Danio rerio: one gene and its partners. The protein of the gene in region 3 purifies or fractionates together with the protein of the main gene of each other region. This does not show direct contact. Links are inferred from orthologs where the notes say so. Each region holds a gene or a part of one and is shown on either strand. Other genes may lie near its edges. The genes, in order: ddx6, atxn2 and mcrip2.

Region 1 (4,363 bases), on a different chromosome or scaffold from region 3:
TACCGAGTCAGTGAGGAATCACAGACACCTGCATCATGAAATGTGGAGTTTATGTTTCCAATACTGCGTGCGTTATCAAATTCCAATAAAACGACCCTCTTACAGCATTAAATACTCATCCAATATTTCATTTGTCAGGGGAGGCATGCATGAAATGTTCCTGAGTGAAAGTGCCAAACTGCAGTTAAAGTCGACAAATTTAAAACACCGGAAATTACATGATATCCCAGAGGAAATGTGAATAGCGTGGCGATTCTATGAAGTTAATTGAATTGTGCTACAACATGTAAAACAGGATCATGAAAAGAACATACAAATTGCAACTTATGCGAACACCTTAATCATATTACTGTCTTATTCAGATTAAGGCAAATAATTTAATTACTAATGTAAACTTAGTCATTGAGTGCTTAGATCAAGCAATGTCGACGAGGCATGGGACGATAAGTTTAAGGTATACCACGGTTTGGAAAAGCCAAGGTTTTAAAACCGCAAAAGTTTCCTACTATACCATTCCTAAGGTATGTCCAAGTTTTGTTTTTTGTTGTTGTTGGTTTTTTAGGACAACAGTATTTCCAGCAGAAAGGAATCAAAAAAAAAATCCAAAGATGCTGTTTTAAATTGTAAGGAAATCTGTGTTTTTTTAAACAAATGAAGACAGCATTAGTCAAAGGCTGTGTCCGAACCGCCTACTACTCAGTAGGTACTGCTTTTGAATTTAAATGTACTACTCGGCAGTTACAAACGTACGTTCTATACAGTATGAATGTGAAAAGTATGGACAGAATTCGGACGTACTATATCCACCATTTTGTCATGGTCACGTGACCTACCTGCATCAGTTGCGTTGCTTAACTTCCATTTATGAATTCTCTCACGTGGCATTATGGGACAGCGCAGCGTGCATAGGATGCGCACTCCGGAATCTCACCGGAAGTAGCAAGTCATCCGGGTACTTCTCGCAAACTGATTTTCGAACTCTATGAATTTGGACATACTACTCGACTCGCATACTGATTTTAGCATACCATATAGTATGGAAGTATACGGTTTCGGACGCAGCCAATGATTCATTTGAATTATTTAGCCTAACATGTTTACCATTACAAAATATATCAAATGTTTCTCTAAATAAAATAAATTGTGTTGAAAGGGGAGAAAAAAAAAGTTAGTTTTTTTACCCAGACATTTAATTAGAATATATTTTAAAAGGAGTAATCACAATATCGTAAAACAGAGATATTTTTATCCGAGGTTATCATACCATCAGAATCTTATACCAGCCCATGCCTAATGTCGACCAAGCAAGACATCGTATGAGGTCTAATGTGAAACTTTGTGATGCAAGATGAGATCAGGGTTAAGGTTGGGTTTGATAAAAGGTTCCATCATTTTAATTTTCTTTTAACAAAAAGTGTGCTAATTGCTCTGTGCATCTTTACCACAAACTAGCACTAACACTTATACTTCTACAATTACCTGCAATATTACAGCATCAAAAGAGTTAACACACACTCATGCAGAAATTACAGGGACAAGCTCTGGTAGAAGTGTCAAGATAAAAAAGTCTCTTGAATTTGTAACCAATTACAACTTTAATTCATTTTCAGATCTATGAACAGACCATAAACGTTATTAAATGTCTAATGTGAGTTCAATAATGATGGCAGCAGCAGCTGGCACAATGTCAACACGATAGGCCTCATTGTAAAACAGCCTCGCGTTTACCTAAAGCATTTAAAAATGACAAACTTTAATAAATGTGACTTCAGTGTTGTTATGCATCTATAAAAACAGGTGAAGTTGCACGTTGACTACACAGCTGTGGAGCTTAAAATTAGACATAACAAATGTTTGGTTACCTTAAGTTAAGCGAAAGCGTATAGTTCATTGAACTCATTCCACGAATACTAAAAAACAATGTTATGTTATACGATATAACCAGTGTCACGTTGTAGTTATTAAGCTAAAATGTACATCTTAAAGGTTAACCGTATTGATTCCACATAACGTGAAACTCGGCGTCACGCAACAAACGTTAATGCTAATGTTTAGCTACGCAGCTACCGCTGACGGCTTCAAGCCAGACAGATTTTAATAGTCGGATACATTTTAAATCTTTAGCAAACACGGTTATCATAATACGATGGAATGTGGCTTTTATTATAAGCAAATCTAAATATATAAGCTGTTAGGAAGGAAATATTAGCAGTGCTCAAGCTCGTTAGCTTTTGGCTTGCACACAGGCCGCACGCGTAACCTCAGATTCACAATCACCAGTATAAAGAACTAAACGCTCGTTTCATAAACGCTAAAACAGAAGCAAGAACATATTTAACTCTTAACTAAATCAGCTAACACAAACACTGCGAGCCAAAAAGACATCACAAATTTGTAAACACCAAGACACAAAGAAACCCACAAAACCGACTTAATCCCCAGAACACAACACGTAGATTTGACGTTCTGCAAACTTACCAAACGTGGCAGAGAATATCTTTCAGTGTGTTTGTGTTTGTGAATTATAGGTGTAGAGTTGTGACATATTTCGGGGTGTAAAGCGAGTGTGTAAGATGGCTTCCAGTCATCTTTAAACCCTCCCATAATCAGTCACATGAGACAGAGCCCTGTCTAATCCACACAAACGCAACGCATATGACGATTGTTTAGAAAACGCAATTTAATGCTGCCGTCATTTCAAATGCGTTGTTAAATATATATATATTAAGAATACGTTAATTAAGCTCTTAGAATTTCGTTTTATTTATGTTTTATTTATTTGTAAGCGGTTGAGGTCGTCACAATTACACATTTTGCTTTAAAAACGTCCTAATTACATAGCAGCGCAGTTTAATTCCTACCTGAGCTTGTTGTAGTCTTGGCTGAAGCACGGCATGTGAAGGGTGTCATTTAATTAGCTCAACGTGTTTATACTTGACTAATTGGTGTAAGGATCCATGTGGTTTAGACATACTGTTTTTTTATTTGGGTATTTAAAAACATATTTTATCTTTAATAATAATGCTTATTTTATTATTGTTGAAGAGGCTTGAAGTGCACAAAGTAGGAATCTGTTGATAGGCACGCCTGAGGTGTTTGGAGGTAGTTAATGAATTGCCTTGAGTAGTTTAATGACTAATTAGACTGACTTATGTGGCTAGAAAGTAGTTTTTTAACGTAACGTAACATTTTTGTGCATTAGTATGTCTGTTATTTATTTATTTTTCGTTGCGAAAAAACATAAATTTTGAGCACGATGACGAACGTGTCCTTAAGTTTGACATAATATACATTAAACCTAATAATTCATCAATTTTCTCTCAGCTTAGTCCATTTATTCATGAGAGGTTGCCACAGCGGAATGAACCGCCAACTTATCCAGCATATGTTTTTTTTTTTTTTTTTACAGCAGATGCCCAGCTTCAACCCAGTACTGGGAAACATCCATACACACTCATACACTGCAGCCAATTAAGTTTATACAATTCACCTAAATGCAGTTACATCCAAATATATTTAGATGTGTTGTTGGACAGGAAACGTAAGTGGACTGAGTCTATAAGGAAAAGGCAACAGAGAATGTACTTCTTAAAGAAACGATTGTCTTTTATTGTTGACAACACATCGTTGATCATATTTTCTAGTGTTTTTATTGAAATTATTGCAACATTTTGTGTGATCTATTGGTATGGAAATGCTTCTGAGGCCCAGAAGAGGTCACTGGGAAAGGTGGTAACAACAGCCAGTAAGTTCTTGGGTATAAAACAAAAGGGCATTAATAGTATATACAAAGAAAGTGTATTAAATAAGGCTATCATGATTGTCTATGATGAGAGACATCCTTTATCAAACACCTTTCAATTGTTACTATCAGTTTGTCGATATTGTGTTTACAGATGTGTGAGAAATAGGACAAAATGATCATTTATAGGGAGCGCGAGGCACAAAGTAATGCAGGGTAACGTAACATGGAGTTGTAAGGTATTTGCTCAGGGTTATTTATGAGGTGCCGTGTAGGATTTAAATCAAACTTTGCTTATCAACACATACATAAAACACGTGTATATACACCTATAAATTACTCGCATATACACCCATACTACTGGATGTTCAAAACAACATGAATGAAACTTGTGTATATACATATAAACTTGACACATGAATACACCCACATACACACGCACATACATATAAACTCGATCCTCACATAAACACTCACATTAACACATGCACATACATATAAACTTGCTGCATGCAAACACACCTATACACACTCGCATATACAGATAAACTCGATTCTCGCATAAATATCCACATTTATATGCACATACATATAAACTCGCAGCATGCAAACACACCTATA
Region 2 (4,152 bases), on a different chromosome or scaffold from region 3:
TTGTGCCATTAGTCAGTACTGAAGCCAAATCTGGAGTTTATCTAACAAAATAACTTACGATGAAGGCCCAAAAAACTAGTACACCCACATATATCTGTTATAGAAAAATATTAAACAAAAATTTAAAATGAGGAAAAAACAAGAAGCAAAAATTTAAAAATTAAGTTGAAAATTTGTAGGTTGTAATTTTTTTGCTTGATTAAATTCAAGTAAAATATCGGGAAAAAAATACAACCTACAAATTTATTAATTGTATTATTTCTAAATACTCTATACTTCTAAATATGTCTGGTGACTAAAATATAACTTTAATAAATACATCTGTTTAATAAACCTGTTTTGTTTAAATGCACCAAACTACATTGCCTATATTTACTGAGAAATGGATAAAAATATTTATTTTCGAAACGGGGTGTACTCAATTAAGCTGAGCACTGTATATATGATTCAACAGGGAATATAAATTTGTATGCGAATCAATTTAATAAATTTACACTATGAATAAATGAAAAAAAGAAAAGCCGAAACTCACTGCAGTAGAGGGTCCTTTGGCATTGTTGCGTCCTCTGTTGGGAGGAGAGAAAACAGCATGACTGAGAAGTTTTATAACAGTTGAACTATAACCATATGCATACACAGAAAATCTTTGACATGCTGTACACACGGTTTAAAGAGCAAAAAAAGTCACACACTCCTACGAACACAAATTCAAGTGATTCCAGTAGGGTTATCGATTGCACATGTACTGGCAAACACTCAAAGCTGTAATGACAAAGGAGTGACAAATAATCATATGCTTCATGCAATTCATTGTGCAAAGAAGCACTTATGTAGTTCCCAAACAACAGACTCTAAAAAGAAAATCTGCATTTTACTGACAGTACGTGACTCATATCCACTAACAGCCATATACCTCAAACATATGACAGATTCTGAATTGTAAAGCTTTCAATGTGTTGGACAAAATTTCAACAAGATCTCTAATGTGCAGCAAAATAAGTTCAGTGCTCAAAGATTAGGCAAAAACTATCAGCATCTAGTACATTAAAATACATTAGTAAGATAAAAGCTGTGAATGACAATTATTTTTCAACAGCCAGGCTGCAAATCAAGTGCTGCATTACAGGCAGTGAAAGGCTCCACTGCACCACTCAAGATTCCCACAATCTTGTACAAGTCATATCACTCTTGTTGTTTTGCGTAAACAATAATCACATTTTCCCCATGCAGTGTGCAACTATGTGATGCCAATTCTCAGCTGTTAGATTAAAAGTTTCCACTGTTAATTTCTTCATTCATGACAGCTCAACACAAACCACGACAATAACATTCGTCTGTCACACCTCTACACAACATACTTACTCAAACGTCATTATGCAAGGACAGACTTATGCATGCAACCTCTTGTAAACGTCAAGGTTGAGAGTGCAGCTCTCTGACTTTCCACTCTACTAAGCGCTTGTCCTCGTGAGCGCGCGCGCCGCCCCTCATCGGAAATGCACGCGACTGACAGATAGTTCCAACATGAAGGATCAATCGAAAAGTAACGGGAAACACGCAGATTCGACCTAGTGGCCCTCAGCTAACGGAATTCAAGAAATCTAAATCGGACGCTGAGTTAATGTCATTGTCAATAGTCAAACAGAGAGCTAACATGTGACATCTCATAATGGATGATGAATTCCCAAAACATCGATTCAGGGGCACCTCAGAAGAGGTTACAAATCAGCTGACGGGAAGATAAAAGCATAAAACTAGGTAACGTTATCTGTAGCAAACAACCCTTTTTTGTTTGGACTGACACAAATCAGAAGCAATTGGTAAAACGTTGTAGAAAAACTATGATCTCTCGATTACATAATGACCAAAAACCTGAATGATGTTAATCTACAAAACATACTTTAAATCCTGTTAAATTAGACAGATTTCTGACAGTATGAGCAGATAAATGTTTGCTACAGTAGTTAGCAGGCTAACACTTGCTTCTATACCCACTGTAACGTTATGACTCTCAGATTATTTCTTTGTAAGTGACTAAAATGTCAAACACGTTCAATCCTATAACAGATTCCGACACGATACAAAAGCATCTGTCCTGGGAAAAGCTGGCACAGCCATATCCCACCGGCAAAGACGCACAATTCATCCTGAACGTGACCAGCACCCACAGCAGACAACCCGCCCCTCTCGAAATATACACGAACATGTTGTCCGCTATCAGCTGTTATTTTATAACCGCAGTAGTTTGCGTCCATTAACCTGTGAATCCCTGTCCTGTGAACTTGGCCTATATCGGCCTACTTGCGCTCTATCCTGATCACTGCAACTCCACAACCTGCGTTTTTAAACTACGACACTAGTGCAGGCATGCCGCATTCCCGTGTTGGTTCACGCTCGTCGGTCCATCCGAATTAAAAGCCTGTTATGCAGATTGGTCACCCACCTGCCCATGTTCTGGCGTCCGACGCCTCCTCCTGCTCCCCCGGTACCGGAGGCCGCAGCGGCTCCGCTGTTGCTTCCGCCGGGTTTGCGATTACCACCGGCCTGCGGCTTCATGGACATGATGATCCCATAAACGACAGCTTGAGCAGAGTTGTCTGACTGTTTGGAAAAAAAACGTTTGATGCCGCGGACGAGAGCGGAAAATGCTATTTGACGTGTTAGCTGACAGTTGATCTAGTGACAGCCAACGTGTAAAACTGCTCCTCCAGTTACTCGAGTCTCCACTGACGCTGCCTGCTACTTCAGCTAGCTCTGCTGATTAATTCCTCCTAAACAGAGACAATTCAGCCCGTTTTAAAAGCAAAGCGCGGACGACCCATATGTTTTAGATGTCTACAAAAATACCAACCCGGTAATTTCGCTATTTTGTTATTTTTAGTGCGGTATTTTCAGTGATATACACAGTTCACGCGGGGCTTCAGCACTGACCGATAGACCTAAACAGTCTGAAAAGCCACAAAAAGTGGCGGAAGGATATATACACATCCCAGGAATGTGTGTACTCCTATTGATGGTTTTATTGGTTCCAGAAGAAATGATCGTCAATAGTTATTGTAAATATTCTAAGAACGTAATACACTATTCAGATAATATTAGAAATGGATGAATGTTAGATTTGAGGAATGATGCGCATATGTCGAGCGCACTATTTTCAGAAGATGCACTGATCACTTTGTGCGTGTGTGCTTTGGCGCTAGACCAGGTGACTGGTGGTGAAATATATACAGTTAAATTCTTCAAGCTCTATTTGGCCTAGTTGTTCTGATTAGTTTTATTTCTTCGAGTTTAATATTTAAAACAGTAATCTAATTAATATACACTATTTTACTCTCTGCTTTGAGATTTTAAGCAATTATTAAATAAAGCGTTATCCTCATGTAACCCTTGATCTAAATATGGTCAACTAAACAATGTTTTTCCATTGACTCATTTTCCTCTTTGTGTATGTTTTAGTTTTTTTTTTTTTTGTGATTTAAAATATGTAATTAACTTGAAATTACATGAATAGTTCATCCAAAAATAAAAATTTACTCAAAATTCACTCGCCCTCATTTGGTTTCAAACCTTCAGGAAAAGAAGATATTTTGAAGAAAGCTAAAAATCTGTAACGATTAACTTCAATAGTGGAAAAAGAAAATAGAAGTCAATGGTTTTAACCTGAATGCACAAATACTCATAAACTTGTCATATGTGGACCTAAATAATTTAGATAAGAAAAAAAAAGGAAAAATGCCTATAAATCTTACACAATAAAGTTGATAATGTAAAAATGTAGATTCTTTGTACAGGTCTGTAGCCAGGGTGCTTCGGGTGGTTCGAAAGAAAACTGTAAATAACGTACAGTTTAAATGCACATGGTAAAATAGTATAGTGAACATTTCTGACAAAATTAAAGGAAATATTTTTGTTCCATCAAAGATTGTGGTTTTGATGACCATCCGAAAAGCTAATCCAACAAAGATTAGTGCTTGAAAATGTCACTTAAAATGCCATATTTGAACCTTATAATTTATTAGAAATTAAATAACTGTAAAAAGGTCCACAGAACCACCATTTCAATAGTCTGCTTAAGGGCCTGTTGTTCTGTGAATTGGTTTAACGAAATACTTTTATTTAACAAAAGTACATTAATGCTGTTTTTTTTCAACT
Region 3 (4,238 bases):
TCAAAATTATGTAATTTTCTAAATAATTTAGTCATTTTAAGCAGGACTGAGGTTGATTAACAGATTTATGCAAAAAATAAACATTAATCTGATGCATTTTTAGCTTAATTCAGTGGATGTTTTCATTCTCAACATAATTAAAGGGTATTCAATTTGCCCAGAGTGTATCATTGAGTTTTTAAAAATGTCAAAGCATTTCCCAAAGTACATCAAAATAAGATTTTCACAAAAGTCAGAAAAAGTTATGGCCAATTTAAGACTCAAAAATCACCCCAGAGTGGATGAAAACATCCCCAACAATGTATAAGGGTTAATAAAAAGTTTAGAACTTGAAAAACATGCTTTTCTTTTAGGACAAAATTGACTAAAGTGCTTTAACACTCCCTAAACCGGTTGTGAGATTTCACCGCATTATGCAACACCTTTCTACAGCATGTAAAGCAGTTTTAGAAAACATTAAGCCTCAGTTGACTAGCCTGCCGTTGTACAAAAGAGCCTAAAAGCTGCCCTTGAGGTGGCGTTGCATCAGCCTGCGGAGGAGGGGTCTGGCCTGTAGACAAACACCTCCTTTGCAAGACAACAATTGTCCTTCTTCTCACAAATCTGATGAACCGGCCTCCCGAAGCACGTTAATGATACTCTGAACCCAAGTGATCCACAACTGCAGTTTAGTTTAGTTTAGTTTGCATGACCTCAAGACTCGCCAGTTTGTGACACTTTTGAGTTGTGGAGCCTTGAATACTTGGAGTTCACTGAGGTCACGGCAGCTGCTAACCAGCCTCAAGGTCTTAATGGTAACTAGGACATTAACAACGGCATTCAGGAAAATGAACTCACCCTCATAAACAAACCGGACATTTTCCTCGTGAGCTGGTGTGAATCCTTCAGTTGTGTTGTCGGCTTTTGGAGAGGTGGATCTGTGGTACCGCTTTCCGTTCAGACGATGAAACACAATCTTGGGCGCTGGTGAACTGCACAGTGGGAAATTAGAAGATATATAATAATATTACCTGGTTGTAAAGTTATACATAGTGGTATAGGTGGTAAACCATCAATCCTTTAATTTTTATGATCTGGCCCATGTCAATTTCTTCATTATTATTTGGAATTATAGTTACTAATTATTTGGACATCCATTGACTTTAACATAAAGTGTGTTCTTTAAAGTATACAAATATTAACAGGTCTGAAAAAGACTTAAAATTATAGATTTAGCTACATTCTGTTATTTAACCTTATTTTAAACATTTGAGTTTCTTTTGTTAAAAGTAAAAATATATTTTGAAGAATGATTAAAGGCTGTAACAATTGATTTCCATTGCATTGGTTTCTCGACTATATAAGCGAATGGTTATAAGTTTTTAGCTTTCTATAAAATATCTACTTTTGTGTTTAACAGAAGAAAGAAACTCAAAAAAGGTTTGGGATCACTTCAGAGTGAGTAAATTTCCATTTTGGGGTGAACTATCCCTTTCAGTGAAAAGCCTGTCACAATATTTTGGTGAACTGTCCCTTTAAGACCAAATACTTCCTTACACAACCTCGTTTCTATAGTGACGCGTTATAAAACCCATTTACTAACTATATTAACATAACCACCATCGTCATCATCATCATCAATGGGTCGCTATTCAAATATCAAACTCAATTGACAGGACGCATACGCGAACGCATGACCGTCGTAAAAATCGCCTTAGAAAGCAGCACATGGTGCTGCACAACGTCCTTGTGGGAATATAAGGGGTGTGACAAGCATGTGCTCGCAATATAATAACGCCAAAAGATCAATTATTAATCCCTATCTACAGAAATGAGTACCGACAGAAATCGCGACACAATCTTCAAACAAGCCGACACTCCACGCGCTCTCGTTCACGCGCACGCGCTACTGTTGCAAGGTCACACGGCGCTGCAAAAACATGCGACTCTGGCAAAGGGGTAAAAACAGCACGTCCTGATTTATGAATGAGGCCACCTTGTTGTCTGTGGATACTTTTAAATGTCCACTGCGTATAAACGAAACAAGGACGATGGGGCAGTTAAATCATGTTTAAGTTTCCCCTTAGTGACCAAACTCACGTGAGGAGATCAATCAGGTACTAGATGTGTTACATTATATCACTCACTCCGATACAAGCCAGTGGCTCTGCTTCTGTTTCAGGTCGTTTCCTTTGCTCTCAATCTGTTGTGTAGGGCCTGAAATAGAGAAAGTATGTGTTAATACATCAGCCAAGGTCTATAAGTGGGTCGTTTTTTTTTAAATATACACCATAAAAGCATTAGAAATCAGCGATATTGCGTCGTCTGCATGCTGTTCCTGTTCACCTTACCTGTTCTGCGTTGTGTAACAAGTTTGCTGGGACCTCTGGTTATTGTGTACATCATGTGAGAGACGGTTTCTGGAGAACCCCTGCGGTACGATAGATCCACGCGAGGTCTACGGATCGGTCAGTGCTTAAGTCACAATTAAATGCACGCCAGAAAACGTCACGCGATCCCCCTTCAGGACGGAGCTCTTTTGACGCAGCCACCGTGGAAATAAGCAGTGTCGATCCCGTCTGCAAATCTGCCGGTCAGACGCTTGCAGGGAGCATATGCGAGTGGACTTAAGCGCCCTTGTGTTTACTTACAGCAGACGTAAGGTCAGTCAAGGTTAAGAGCGTTTATTACCCTAATTACGCGCCAGGCTAATTCGCAGAGCGTCCGGTGTGTTTGTATGCGCGAGAGGCGTCTATCTTGGGAAACTTTCTGAGTTCTGGTTCAGGCTGGACACTACTGTAAATTCGGACGGTCAGATCGCAACCTTCTTCCGTGACGTCACGGCACGCCCCCGCGACGTATAACTCGGGTCACCTTTCACCTACTCACCTTGTGGACACCATCAAACGGGCTGTGTGTGCAATCTAAACACGGTTTCATCATGCCGCTAAACATGCAACTGATAAACTTGTGTAATAAACGAGATAAACGGCAGGCTGCGTGTATTTGCGCTGATAGGAGGCGCTTGAATGCACCACGTGGGAAGCATGCTGTTGTGTAAAATCCAAACATCATTCTTTAATGCGTTCAAACATGTAACCGATTCAAGTGTACAGTAGAAACATCGCGCAATCAAGTAAATGGATTGCGTAAATATGCGCAGCTGCGATGCGCCTGACGCACCACGTGGGAACTGGTCAGACTTGGTACACATTAATACTGCTGAACTTTGCTGTGTGTGTGTGTGTGTGTGTGTGTTATAAACCGAATGGTTAAACCTACTAATCTGCCATGAAGGTACTGAAGTCGCACATTTATTTAATTATTAGTTAATATAACACGAAAAAAGTGAGGAGAGGTAATTGTTACACAACTGTTATAGACAGCACAACAGTCCTTGAAAAGCAAATATAGAGACAAAATGTCTCTTGGTTAGAAATGTATTTGTTTATTTTTATAATAATTGCCCAAAAAAACTGATAAACGTGGATTTTAAGTAATCCTAAATTAGTATTTCTGTGTCCAACATAAGGTTGGCGTTTGGTAGCTGCCTTAGAAGACCAAGTTTATTGCTTATATAATAAATATTTTGATTCCCTTATGGTATATATAATTACAGACTTGTTGTTTTAAAGAGCACATATTTTACCCCTTTTTCATGATTTAACATACGTCTTTTGTCTTCAGAATGTGTCTGTGGGATTTCAGCTCAAAAGGCCCATCAGATTATTTATTATAGCTTTCAGAATATTGGGCTTTTCTGCTTGTAGCTGTTTTTGTGGCCTGTGTCTTTAAAGGGCCATGAAACCCCCTCGTTTCAGCAGGGTGTTTTCACACCTCTACTTTGGAAAAAGTCAGAAAAGTGGGCGTGTCCAGCTCTGTTTAGGGGGGAGTGTCGGAGGAAGAAAAGTGGGATGGTGTGGAAGTGTCTATTTGAGCACGCGTGAGTTTCAGAGTCAAAATACACACACACACACACACACACAGTAAAAAGTGATGGTGTTTAACCTACGTGGACATCTGTAGTCAAATTTTTTGCCAAATTATTAAATGGTGGACTTTAACTGCAGTTTGGCTTTCATTCAGGGAATTCATTCATGCCCCTCGCGACAAACGAGATATTTGATTCGAGGAACTGCTCTAAGTGTGTATTTTTCATGCAATGTTTGATACCGCACGGCGAATGAGAGAAAAAAAACCTCCGCATTTCCCGGAATCTTAGATGCACACGGCAGGTAGCGTCAGAATGCCGCGTGTGT

What was found.
Region 1: the proteins of mcrip2 (region 3) and ddx6 purify together in Homo sapiens (co-immunoprecipitation; 5 studies listed by BioGRID and IntAct, with this or other methods). This does not show direct contact. The link is inferred for Danio rerio from reciprocal best matches to the Homo sapiens genes MCRIP2 and DDX6.
Region 2: the proteins of mcrip2 (region 3) and atxn2 purify together in Homo sapiens (co-immunoprecipitation; 3 studies listed by BioGRID and IntAct, with this or other methods). This does not show direct contact. The link is inferred for Danio rerio from reciprocal best matches to the Homo sapiens genes MCRIP2 and ATXN2.

Annotation. Positions count from the first base shown.
Region 1 is NC_133193.1:46,839,370-46,843,732, forward strand, and holds the start of ddx6 (probable ATP-dependent RNA helicase DDX6), read right to left. Parts: upstream 2,903-4,363; 5' UTR 2,862-2,902; intron 2,567-2,861; exon of another isoform or gene 2,479-2,566; intron 1-2,478.
Region 2 is NC_133180.1:42,591,616-42,595,767, forward strand, and holds the start of atxn2 (ataxin-2), read right to left. Parts: upstream 2,951-4,152; 5' UTR 2,563-2,950; coding exon 2,444-2,562; intron 567-2,443; coding exon 533-566; intron 1-532. UniProt on the Homo sapiens protein: Involved in EGFR trafficking, acting as negative regulator of endocytic EGFR internalization at the plasma membrane.
Region 3 is NC_133197.1:27,546,552-27,550,789, forward strand, and holds the start of mcrip2 (MAPK regulated corepressor interacting protein 2), read right to left. Parts: upstream 2,947-4,238; 5' UTR 2,386-2,946; coding exon 2,331-2,385; intron 2,197-2,330; coding exon 2,127-2,196; intron 972-2,126; coding exon 838-971; intron 1-837.